Linked DNA regions of Callithrix jacchus. The protein of the gene in region 1 purifies or fractionates together with the protein of each later gene. This does not show direct contact. Links are inferred from orthologs where the notes say so. Each region holds a gene or a part of one and is shown in the gene's direction. Other genes may lie near its edges.

What was found.
Region 2: the proteins of TNS2 (region 1) and UTRN purify together in Homo sapiens (affinity purification with mass spectrometry; 4 studies listed by BioGRID and IntAct, with this or other methods). This does not show direct contact. The link is inferred for Callithrix jacchus from reciprocal best matches to the Homo sapiens genes TNS2 and UTRN.

Annotation. Positions count from the first base shown.
Region 1 is NC_133510.1:66,517,858-66,523,417, reverse strand, and holds the start of TNS2 (tensin-2), read left to right. Parts: upstream 1-1,782; 5' UTR 1,783-1,956; coding exon 1,957-2,031; intron 2,032-4,444; exon of another isoform or gene 4,445-4,541; coding exon of another isoform or gene 4,542-4,616; intron 4,617-5,560. UniProt on the Homo sapiens protein: Tyrosine-protein phosphatase which regulates cell motility, proliferation and muscle-response to insulin. Phosphatase activity is mediated by binding to phosphatidylinositol-3,4,5-triphosphate (PtdIns(3,4,5)P3) via the SH2 domain.
Region 2 is NC_133505.1:151,249,211-151,254,202, forward strand, and holds part of UTRN (utrophin), read left to right. Parts: intron 1-193; coding exon 194-373; intron 374-3,044; coding exon 3,045-3,179; intron 3,180-4,992.

The DNA of each region.
Region 1 (5,560 bases):
CACTGGTGGACCAGAGATTCTGGTGACAGGCTGGTCTAGGTTACCAGAACAGAGGCCACTTTCTCTTAGTCATACTTTAGATTCAGTGGGAATTTTCCAAACAGCTAGGGACAGACTGGTCATTGTTGCAAGGCAGGAAAGGGGTTAGGACAGTGAGAGAATCCCTACTAAGGTCACAAGGAGGTGGAACTTAGAAAGGAGGCTGGGAAACCTCAGTCAACAATTTGGGGATTTAAGAGCCAAGAGGAGGAAGGAGTTAACACAAATGGCATTTCCCAGCCAATTGGAGCAGCTGCTTTTCTATTTTCTGGCCAGTGAATTTATCTCTGTTCTCCAAAATTGGCAAAGTTGAGGGATATGAGACTCAGTGAGCTGTGATAATGTAAAGGCTTTTCAATGTGGCTTTAGATGCCCCTGTTGCCCAGGGTGCCTGGGGAACCTACAAGGTAATGCTTGTTCACTGCATCTCCACAGGAATCAGTTTCACTCACATTCTCCAAGTCTTCGTTTCTTAGCTGTGCAGTACTGAGGTCTAGGTAAATGATGGGAAAGAAGGAACATAAAAATAGGAAAGACTTGTTGAAAGAGATTTATGATGGTTGTGTACAGAAAGGGTAGAGGAAGGCCCTGTGTCCCAAAAGGTACTTTAAAATCAGAGAAAACCTGGCCTCTAATATGACCACATCCTCATTTAAAAAGATGAGTATGGCCAGGCACAGTGGCTCACACCTGTAATCCCAGCACTTTAGGAGGCTGAAGCAGGCAGATTATGAGGTCAGGAGTTCAAGACCAGCCTGGCCAATATGGTGAAACTCAGTGTGTACAACATAGAAAAATTAGCCAGGTGTGGTGGTGCGCACCTAGAGACCCAGTTACTTGGGAGGCTGAGGCTGAAGAATCGCTTGAACCCTGGAGGCAGAGGTTGCAGTGAGCCGAGATCACTGCACTCCGGCCTAGGTGACAGAGCGAGACTCCATCTCAAAAAAAAAATGTGTGTCCCGTGTGCATGGTTGCTCATGTCTGTAATCCCGGCACTTCGGGAGGATGAGGCAGGAGGGTCGTTTGAGACCAGTCAAGGCAATACGGTGAAACCCTGTCTCTACAAAAAATAGAAAAATTAGCCAGGCACGGTGTTATAGTCCCAGCCTCTTGGGAGGAAGGATCGCTTGAACCTAGAAGGTCAAGGCTGCAGTGAGCTGTTATCGCACCACTGCACTCCAGCCTGGGCAACAGAGTAGGACTCTGTCAAAAAAGAAAAAAAAAAAAGTATGGATCCACCCAGAAGCGCAGCTGCAGAAATGGACTCAGGACTCATTGCCAATCTTGTAAATCCTGAACTACTGGACAAGTAGGAAAGTGCAGATGCAGTATCCTACTTCACAAGGCCCAACTTTAGGCTGGTTAGGTCCCGTTTGTATCTGAGTCCACATTAGCCTAGTTTCTTCTAAACAGAATCAAGCACTATACGCTGGATCCCAAGGCACTGAGGGTCCCAGTTTGTGCTGAGGGCGTCACCTCAAGTGCTAAGCAAGCTCACAGCATCTGGTTTCTCAGGAAGTGAGAGAGCTACACATCTGCTCCTGGGAAGCATTATTTGTCAAATAAGCCTCGTTTCTCAGCAACCATGGTAGCCCCAAGGGCCACAAGCGAAGGGGGGGCGGCTTGCCTTCCCTTACCCTCCCCCAAAAGAAATTTGGAAGAGACGGAGCTCTGCTGCTCCCCGCCCAGCTGCAGCAACCTCCAGCTTGGACAATAAAGCCTCTGTCCTCAGCCAGGAGATCCGCCTCTGGAGTTGGCTCTGCCCCTTCCCCTGCTCTTCCTGGTTCCCAGCACCCAAACCCTCTACTAGAGTTCTCCTGACCCAGTGGTCTCCAGCCAGGACAGCCCCACACCTTTAAATCCACGCCCTATATAATCCCCTGCACCCCAAGGATCTGAGCACACTTGGTTGCAGGCATGGGGTCACCCCAGACCGTGGAAGAGGGGGTTCCACCTTCAATGCCAAGATGGACCACCCTCTGCATAGTCAAGGTAAGAAAACCTGTGTGGAGGGAGGTCAGGGGTGTTCCTGAAATTGTTTGACCTTTATTAACACCAACCTGGCTTCCTCCATCCCTTCTTCTTCCTCCCTGAAGCTCCTGCTGCTGTGAGCTGGAAATCAGGATGCGTGGCTGGTTCTGCGAACCACTCATTTTTGTTTCACGCCCACAGAGCTACCTCCTGCATAACTTCTCATTCTCAGCCTTTCTCATCAGCCTCCTTCCTGCAGTCCCCTTCCCCTGTATCCCCATGCTGGGAGTAGGAATCCAGCCTGAGCTGGGAGTTCAGCCACCCATCTTGTGACCCTTTTCCAGTTCCTTGGAACCTCAAAAGTTCCTCCCAGGAAGGCAGCAAAACCAGCATGAGTGTGAGGTTCTAGCCCTTACCCCTCACCTCTCTGGGGTCCCATCAAATTCCTCTGAGTCCCAGTCTCTCTACTGGTAACTTTAGAGCTTAGGTAAAGGTACCCCACGGCACCCATCCCAGGGCCCACCCAGCCAAAGAGCCTAAGGAATGCTGGGAAGAGCAAGATGTTAAAAGAGCTGGTTGACAGCTCCAAAGACATGAACACATTTCATTATCTTACGTATCTCAATTACATATCTTGCCAAAATACATAGGACAACCTCCAGCCCTGCCCTTTCTCCGGGAGCCTCCAATCCCTGCCACTCTCCTCGGTATTCCCCCACCCCCACCTCTCCTGTCCCCAGTCCCCAGTGACTCCCACTGCCCTAACCTCTGAAACTGCCTACTGGACACCAACTCAACCAAGATCAGTAAGATCAACGCTCCCCAGTCCCAACCATATCCACCCGCCCAAATGCCAATCTCTGGATATCGGGGGACACATACTGTCATCATGCACTGTTTCACAGACTCTTCTTCCCTGTCAGGTGCCCCACCCCCCGGAAATGAGAACCAGACTTCCCAGCCTTTGCCAAAGACAAGATGAGCACAGAAAGGACCCAGTTGAGATGAGACAAGGAGGGAAAGGAGGTCTTAGAGCCAGTGGTACTGGCTGCTTTGAGCAGGCACTGGGCATTGAGCCCTGGGCACTAGGTTCTCAGAATCCCAACATCCTTTCCCCCGCCCCTTTTCATCATGGAAAATCCAGCGGGGAGGGTGAAGGAGGGAGAAAGTTTCAGGAAGTGCTCACTGCTAAAGGATGTAGGAGAATGCAGGAATGGCAATAGGTTCAGAGCTTCTAGGAAGATGTCCCCTACTCTGTCCCTACCTTCCCTTCCAGGGTGGCACCACTCAAACCTGCCCTAGAGCCCATTCACTCCATTACATGAAGTTCCTATCAAGTACCAGGCACTGCAAAAGCAGGGAATGAGGTTAGACCACAGAAAGAACTTCCATATCCACTTGGAAAGACTGGATTCAAGTTAAATGTAAGGAAGACCTTCTCAGAGGTCTATGGAGTAAAAATGATGGTCCAGCTCTTTCAAAACAGGGCAAGGGCTGGGCACGGTGGCTCACGTCTGTAATCCCAGCACTTTGGGAGGCCAAGGCGGGGTAATTGCTTGAGTTCAAGAGTTGGAGACCAGCCTGGGCATGGCGAAACCCCGGCTCTACAAAAACTAGTTGTGCATGATGGCGCCCGTTTGTAGTCCCAACTACTAGGGAGACTGAGGTGGGAGGATCGCTTGAGCCTTGGAGGCAGTGAGCGGAGATCGCACGTCACTGCACTCCGGCCTGGGAGACAGAGAGAGACTCTTGTCTCAATGAATGAATAAAGCAGGGCAGTGGATGGGATGGCTGAAGCTGCTTGCAGGTGGAGATGGGGGCTTGAGCCTGATGGAGAGGTCCTCAGCTGTGAATCCTTTGGGAAGAGGGAAGGGTGTCCAGCGACTTAAGCCAAAAGTAACACCAGGTGGCTTCACCTGATTCACGTGCCCGCCTGGGTAGGGGACGCTAGCACCACCAGGCCAGGCCGCGGGTGGTCCTCTCAGGTCAGGCCCAAGCCCAGACACACTCCTGTGGGGAGGGTGAGAGGCTGGCAGTCCCCTGTCCCCTGTTTCCTAGTCCCTTCTGGACCTATGCACACCGTTTCTTGTGCGTCTGTCTGGCTCGCGTGTTTCTTTTTGCCTGTGTCCCGCCGGGTCAGGCTCTCCCCGTCTCTGAGACTTTCCCGTCCCCGTGTCCTCCGCGGCCGTTTCTCTCCAATTCTCTCCCCCTCTCTTAGCCTCCTCCTGTCTCCAGTGTGTCCCCGGCGCTGCCCCGCTGGCAGTCTGTGCACCCTCTCTCCCCTCGGCTCTTTGTGAGTGAGGGTTCGCGGGAGAAGGTGGGGAGAAAAGGAAGCCGAGGGGCGGGGAGCCGGCGGAACGTGGGGATTGGAGCCGGGAGGGGGGAGGAGGAGGAGGAGGAGGAGGAGGAGGAGGAGCGGGCGGCGGCGGCGGGCGCGGGGCGCGGTGGGGGCGGTAGGGAGCGCAGCCGAGCGCGGCCGCCGGCTCCCGCCGCTGCCTCCTTCGCATCTGCTCCGCGCGGGCCCGGACGGGATGGGCTGGCCCGGGGGCTCCCCCTGCTGCTGCCCCGCCCCGCCGCGCCCCCGCCCCGCCGGGCGCCCCCCGCAGGTGAGTGGCCGCGCCGCGCTGGGCGGACGGCGGCCTCTGCGTCACGGCCGCGCTGGCAGTGCGAGGGGCGGGCGCCAGGGGGCGCCGGAGGTCGAGGGGGCGCGGGGCGCGATTCAGGGCTGGGGCTGGGGGCTCTGGCAGGCCGCGGCAAGCTGGGAGCGGCGGGAGGTCGGGGCAGTGATCAGGGGGCGGGGCGCCGCCTCGGACCTACTCGGTCGTGCCGCCACGCCTGCCAGCGCCCCGGGCGCACGGGGCCGCACGCCGAGCCACACACACAGGCCCGGGACCCGGCAGTAGCTGGCAGCGGCGCTCGGGCCCCGGCCTGGCTGGGTGCGGGCGAGCATTTTCCTTTCCTACTTCACATGTGGGACACTGAGGCCGTAAGCGGGCACAGAGGAGGCTAATTCGACTCGCCAGCCCCGTTCTGCGGCCGCCATCCTCCAGACCCCTGTGGGCGCACCCCCAGAGCCACCGCCCTCCCTCGCTCCTTCCCGGGCCTCACCCCTCCTCCGCGGCAGCCAGAGGAGGGATGAGGCCCAGCCTCCCTTCCAACCACAGCTATTTCCAGGAAGAGGGGTGTGGGTGGAGGGGTTTCTCCAAACAAACCCACGACTTCGGAGAAAGAGGGGGCCCGCCTGGGGGAGAGGTTGACAGGCTCTGAAATGTTCCAGGCGGGAGGAGGTCTAAGAGGGTCTGGTGATGCCTTCCCAACCCTCCCAGAGTGAGCTACTTCTTCCCTGCGGACTGGCTCATAGGGACGCCATCCCTGCCTCCCTTCCGAGGTGCGTGTGCCACAGGATGGGAGGACTCACAGGCACAGTGGAGCTGGACCACCCCACCCCTCACCGCACTCACTGCTTCTGCACCTCCTTGCTGGGTTTGGGTGGGGAGTGTGAGACCAGTGAAGGTCTGAGGATGCCTGGGGACCTGTTCCAGGTGAGGGG
Region 2 (4,992 bases), on another chromosome or scaffold:
ACAAACAAACAAACAAACAAACAAACCCCACCAAACAAACCCACAAAGAAGCGCTCACTGTTACCTAAATAACATTTCTGTTCGGCAGTTAGAATCATCCAGATATTTTAACTTTGGTCTAATTCTTGAAGAAAAAAATTGGTTACTGAGAAAGGAGACATTGTTCAAGTTCATCCATCCTTTCTTGGAACAGAGGGCAAAAGAGGATGTGTTGCAGAAAGAGGTGAGAGTGAAGATTCTCAAGGACAACATCAAGTTATTAGCTGCCAAGGTGCCCTCTGGTGGCCAGGAGTTGACGTCTGAGCTGAATGTCGTGCTGGAGAATTACCAACTTCTTTGTAATAGAATTCGAGGAAAGTGTCACACTCTAGAGGTATGTTACTTTTTTTCTTTCTGTGATGTATTTCTGAGATCCAAACTCCGTAATGTTCTGGCCATTTTCAAATCTTGGAGAAAACTTTTTTATTTCAAATTCTGGATCATAAAGGAAAAATAGATCTGGGGGAATAGGTTGATAAAAATGAAAGAGGGGTTGAAAACAGGAGAACAAAATCTGTCCCTAATTATCAAAAGGGTCTTGGGCAAGTCATTTTGTATCTTCAGACTTGACTTTTTTTTGCATGTGCAATCAAGGTTTTCATGTAACAGATGATCTGTGGGGCCGGTTCCAGTCCAAAAATTGCAGAGCACATTGCAAACATCTCTTTCGTTTTGCCTGGTTGAGTATACAGGGAGGAATTATTTTCTTTTGAGTGCTGTCTAAAGTACAGGAGTCATCTGAAGGAAAAATAGAACTTATATATGCTACTATTTTACTGGGCCTTAGATGAAATACCTTTTTCCCCCTCCCTGGCCATTATATGTAAAATGTAGATGATTCTGTGAAATTTTTAAAAACTAAGATCAAGTTTTTGCTTGTTTGTTTTTATAGTAGTATGACTTTTGTTATTGCTTGTTGGAAGATTTAAGAGGCCTTTCAATTTACAATTTAATTTACATTCAATTCTACATAAAACAAATTATTGTATTGTGGTAAATCCTGTAATGGTAAAAAATGGCAACTGTAATATTTAACCTAAATACTGATCATTCATTCATTTATGAACGAATTCATTCAGTGCTTGTTCTAAACTAATTTTGTGCTAAGATAAGTATGTATCATTGAGGCTAGTTAGTAAGAAAGATACTTGATTCTGGGTCAGCCTGCTTCTTGGGAGTGGTCTTCTTTAAGTCGTCTTCTCTTTCCCATAAGAAAAGAGGTCATGCTTGCATCTGAGCAGATTTTCTTTTTCTTGTAGAAATGGGGGACTAGAAATTATTTTTTCTTTTATTTTAACTCAGGGATTGGCAAATTATGGCTGAGGGATTTTTTTTTCATTTTGTTTTGTTTTAAGACAGGGTTTTGCTCTGTCACCTGTGCTGGGGTGCAGTGGTGTGATCACAGCTCACTGAAACCTCAGACTCCTGGGCTCAAGTGACTCTCCTGCCCCTGCTTCCTGAGTTAGCTATGACTACAGGCTTGCAATGCCACACCAGATAATTATTTTTATTTATTTTTTTGTGTCGAGATAGGGGTCTCACTATGTTGCCCAGGCTGGTCTTGAACTCTTGGGCTCAAGCCATCTTTCTGCCTTGGCTTACCAAAGTGCTGGGATTATAGGCATGAGCCACTGCACCTGGACTGGCTGAGGGGTTTAAATCTAAGTTGTAGTTTGTTTTTGGATACCTGGTTAATTAAGAATGGTTTATATATTTCTCAAGGGTTGTACAACACACACCCCACCTCCAAGAAGAATCTGTGATGGGAACCAAGTGTATCCCCCAAAACCTAAAATATTTACTATCTAGCCCTTTGTAGAAAAACGTACTGCTTCCTGATCTGGTAAGCATACTTCATATGGAGTGTGGACCAGCAGAAGCCTTCACTCATTCAGTACATCCAAAAGCGAACGAGCCCCGGAGGCATCCAGTGAAGTTCTTTCTCCTAAACTTGCCACTCAAATAACTTCCTCTTGTAATAAGGGATTATGAATTTATAAATGTATCTATTCCCTACACAACCCCCGGGTACCTGCTCTGGAAACCTTAGAGGGGAATGAGTGATCAAAACCAACATAGCAAGAATAGTGTAACTCCAGTTTTGATAAAATGTGGCTCTCTTCTTATATAGACAGGTCTTCATGAATTTAGAAAAATATTGGGAAGGCTACCCTGCAAACTTTTACATCAGTTAGCTCTGAGTGGGAACTGGGTGGGGCCCAGGGGATTTCAATTTTCTATGAAATTATTTTTTTAAAAATTTTACTATCTGGAGCAATTTTTTCCTTCTGTTCAAAAAACAAAATTTTTTGTTTTTCAATGGAGTTTCACTCTTGTTGCCCAGGCTGGAGGGCAGTGGCGTGGTCTAGACTCACTGCAACCTTCATCTCCTGGGTTCAACTGATTCTCCTTCCTCAGCCTCCTAAGTAGCTGGGATTACAGCCGCCTGCCACCACCCTGGCTAATTTTTGTATTTTTAGTAGAGATGGGATTTCACCATGTTGACCAGACTGGTCTCAAACTCCTGACCTCAGGTGATCTGCCCGCTTCAGCCTCCCAAAATGCTGGGACTACAGTTGTAGAGCCACTGCACCTGGCCTCCAAAAAAACAAACTAAATAATGTTTCTCTCCTGTTTTTCCTACTAATTATATAGTTGTATTTTTGACATTTAAATGAGATCATGGAATTTATTTTAAGGTAAAGGATGAGGCTACTAATTATATAGTTGTATTTTTGACATTTAAATGAGATCGTGGAATTTATCTTAAGGTGAAGGGTGAGGCAGCCTCTTGCCCACTCCTCTTTGCTCCCCACCTCTCCCCAATTGGTCTGACATGATTTTTTGGATTATTTTATTTTATTTTTTTATTTGAAGTTTCAACTCCAACAGTTTCTGAATTCCTACATCCAAATGACATTATTGGTGATTAAAGAGAATGCGTAGCACTAGAGATATCATGTGTGAAATGGCTTTTCATCTGATTTAAACTTTTCACGCTTTAGGAGGTCTGGTCTTGTTGGATTGAGCTGCTTCACTATCTGGATCTTGAAACCACCTGGTTAAACACTTTGGAAGAGCGGATGAAGAACACAGAGGTCCTGCCTGAGAAGATGGACGCTGTCAACGAAGCCCTAGAGGTTGGAGCCTTTGCTCTCCATGGCTTTTCTCTGTTGTGATGCGGCCACATTTGTATTAAAATGGGGAACGTGATGTTTATGCGGGCAAATGCATTTGCTTCTTCAGTCATATTCAGTGTCACTTGCATTTTTCTTCCAGAGCCTGAAGTGTTTATGCCTTCATGTGTATTTAAATTACTGGTGACCCACTACGTCAGCCTCATGATGCGGTTAGGTGTTTGACAGTTGGCACATTTTCCACATGTTGAAGCACTCTAGTGGTTTTCCAGTTTATATTGCTAGGCCCTGGACAGAGCTCTGCCAAGGTTACTAGAGTAGCTCTTCTCTTGTTTCGTCAACAGGTTGTTTTTACTCACGAAGCACAGCCATGACTGTTTACAGGGGCTTCCTATTACCTTCAGATGTTAGAAGTTGAAAGACATTGGTTGAGTCATGGGGTCTTGTCATAGGAGCTTGTCATCAAGCCTGGACTTTCAACTCCTTGAGGCCGAGAATGTACCTGATACTTTGTTATTCCTCAGTTCCCAGCACAGTGTGTAGCACATGTTAACTTAATAAGCGTTTCTTAAATGAAATACAATGCAAAGAGGGTAGGTTTGCTTAACACACACACAGAAGGGAAGAGGGTAGATATGCTGTACCATGTGGGAAATGAGTGGACAACTGGATTGAAGGTCAGAAAGGAGTGAAATGTGGCACTGACGTCCTAGGAGCTGGATGCTGTGCTAGAGAAAAGATGCCACTTCTCAAATATAGCAGAGTGAGAGACAGAGTGAATGAAAACTGTGAAAAGCTTAATTTTTTTCCTAATATGACAGTGAATACATGTACATTCTAGAAATATGGAAAATAAAGTATAAAGCAAACTCTTAAGAGAAACATTTTTAAACAGTTTGTAGATTTCTTCCTAATTATTATCTTTTATGTATGAGTGCTAGAAAGTGATACACTGTATCAAAGGCTTTGAGGTCTTTTCTTTACTTCTTTATTTATTTATTTTTTATTTGAGATGGAATCTCGCTATGTTGCCCAGGCTAAAGTGCAGTGGCATGATCTCGGCTCACTGGAACCTCGCCTCCTGAGTTTAAGCAATTCTCATGCGTCAGCCTCCTGAGTAGCTGAGATCACAGGCGTGTGCCACCACCCTAGCTAATTTTGTATTTTTAGTAGAGATGGGTTTTTTTTTTTTTAACCCGGTCGGCCAGGCTGGTCTAGAACTCCTGACGTCAGGTGATCCACCTGCCTTGGCTTCCCAAAGTGCTAGGATTGTAGGTGTGAGCCATTGTGCTTGGCCAGCCTTCACGGTCTTAAAGGCTTTAGAGCCATGTTGGAATCTCAGCTCTTCTTTTGACTTTGTGTATGTTGCCAACTTATTTAACATTTCTGAGCTTCAGTTTTCCCATCTGTAAACTGGGAATGTGATTTAGCTGATGTGGTTAATTAGATTTATGTATATAAAAAGTGTATATATAAAATAGTGCCTCTTATTTGGCATATATTGTAGGAAAATGAATACTTATTTTCAGTAATATAATTAATAAAAGTTGAGATAATTTTGCTTGTATAGCATTGTTCTCTGCCTTTAAACTGTGTCATATCATGAGCATTTCCCCATATAATTAATAGTTATTTTCATGTTTTGTTATTCATTCATTTATGTATTGTTCAGAGACATAGTTTCACCCTGTTGCCCAGGCTGGAGTGCAGTGGTATGATCAGAGCTCACTGCAGCCTTGAACTTCTGGGCTCAAATGATATTCCTGCCTTACCCTCCCATAATTAAAAATAATTGAAATTATTTTTGTGGAATTAT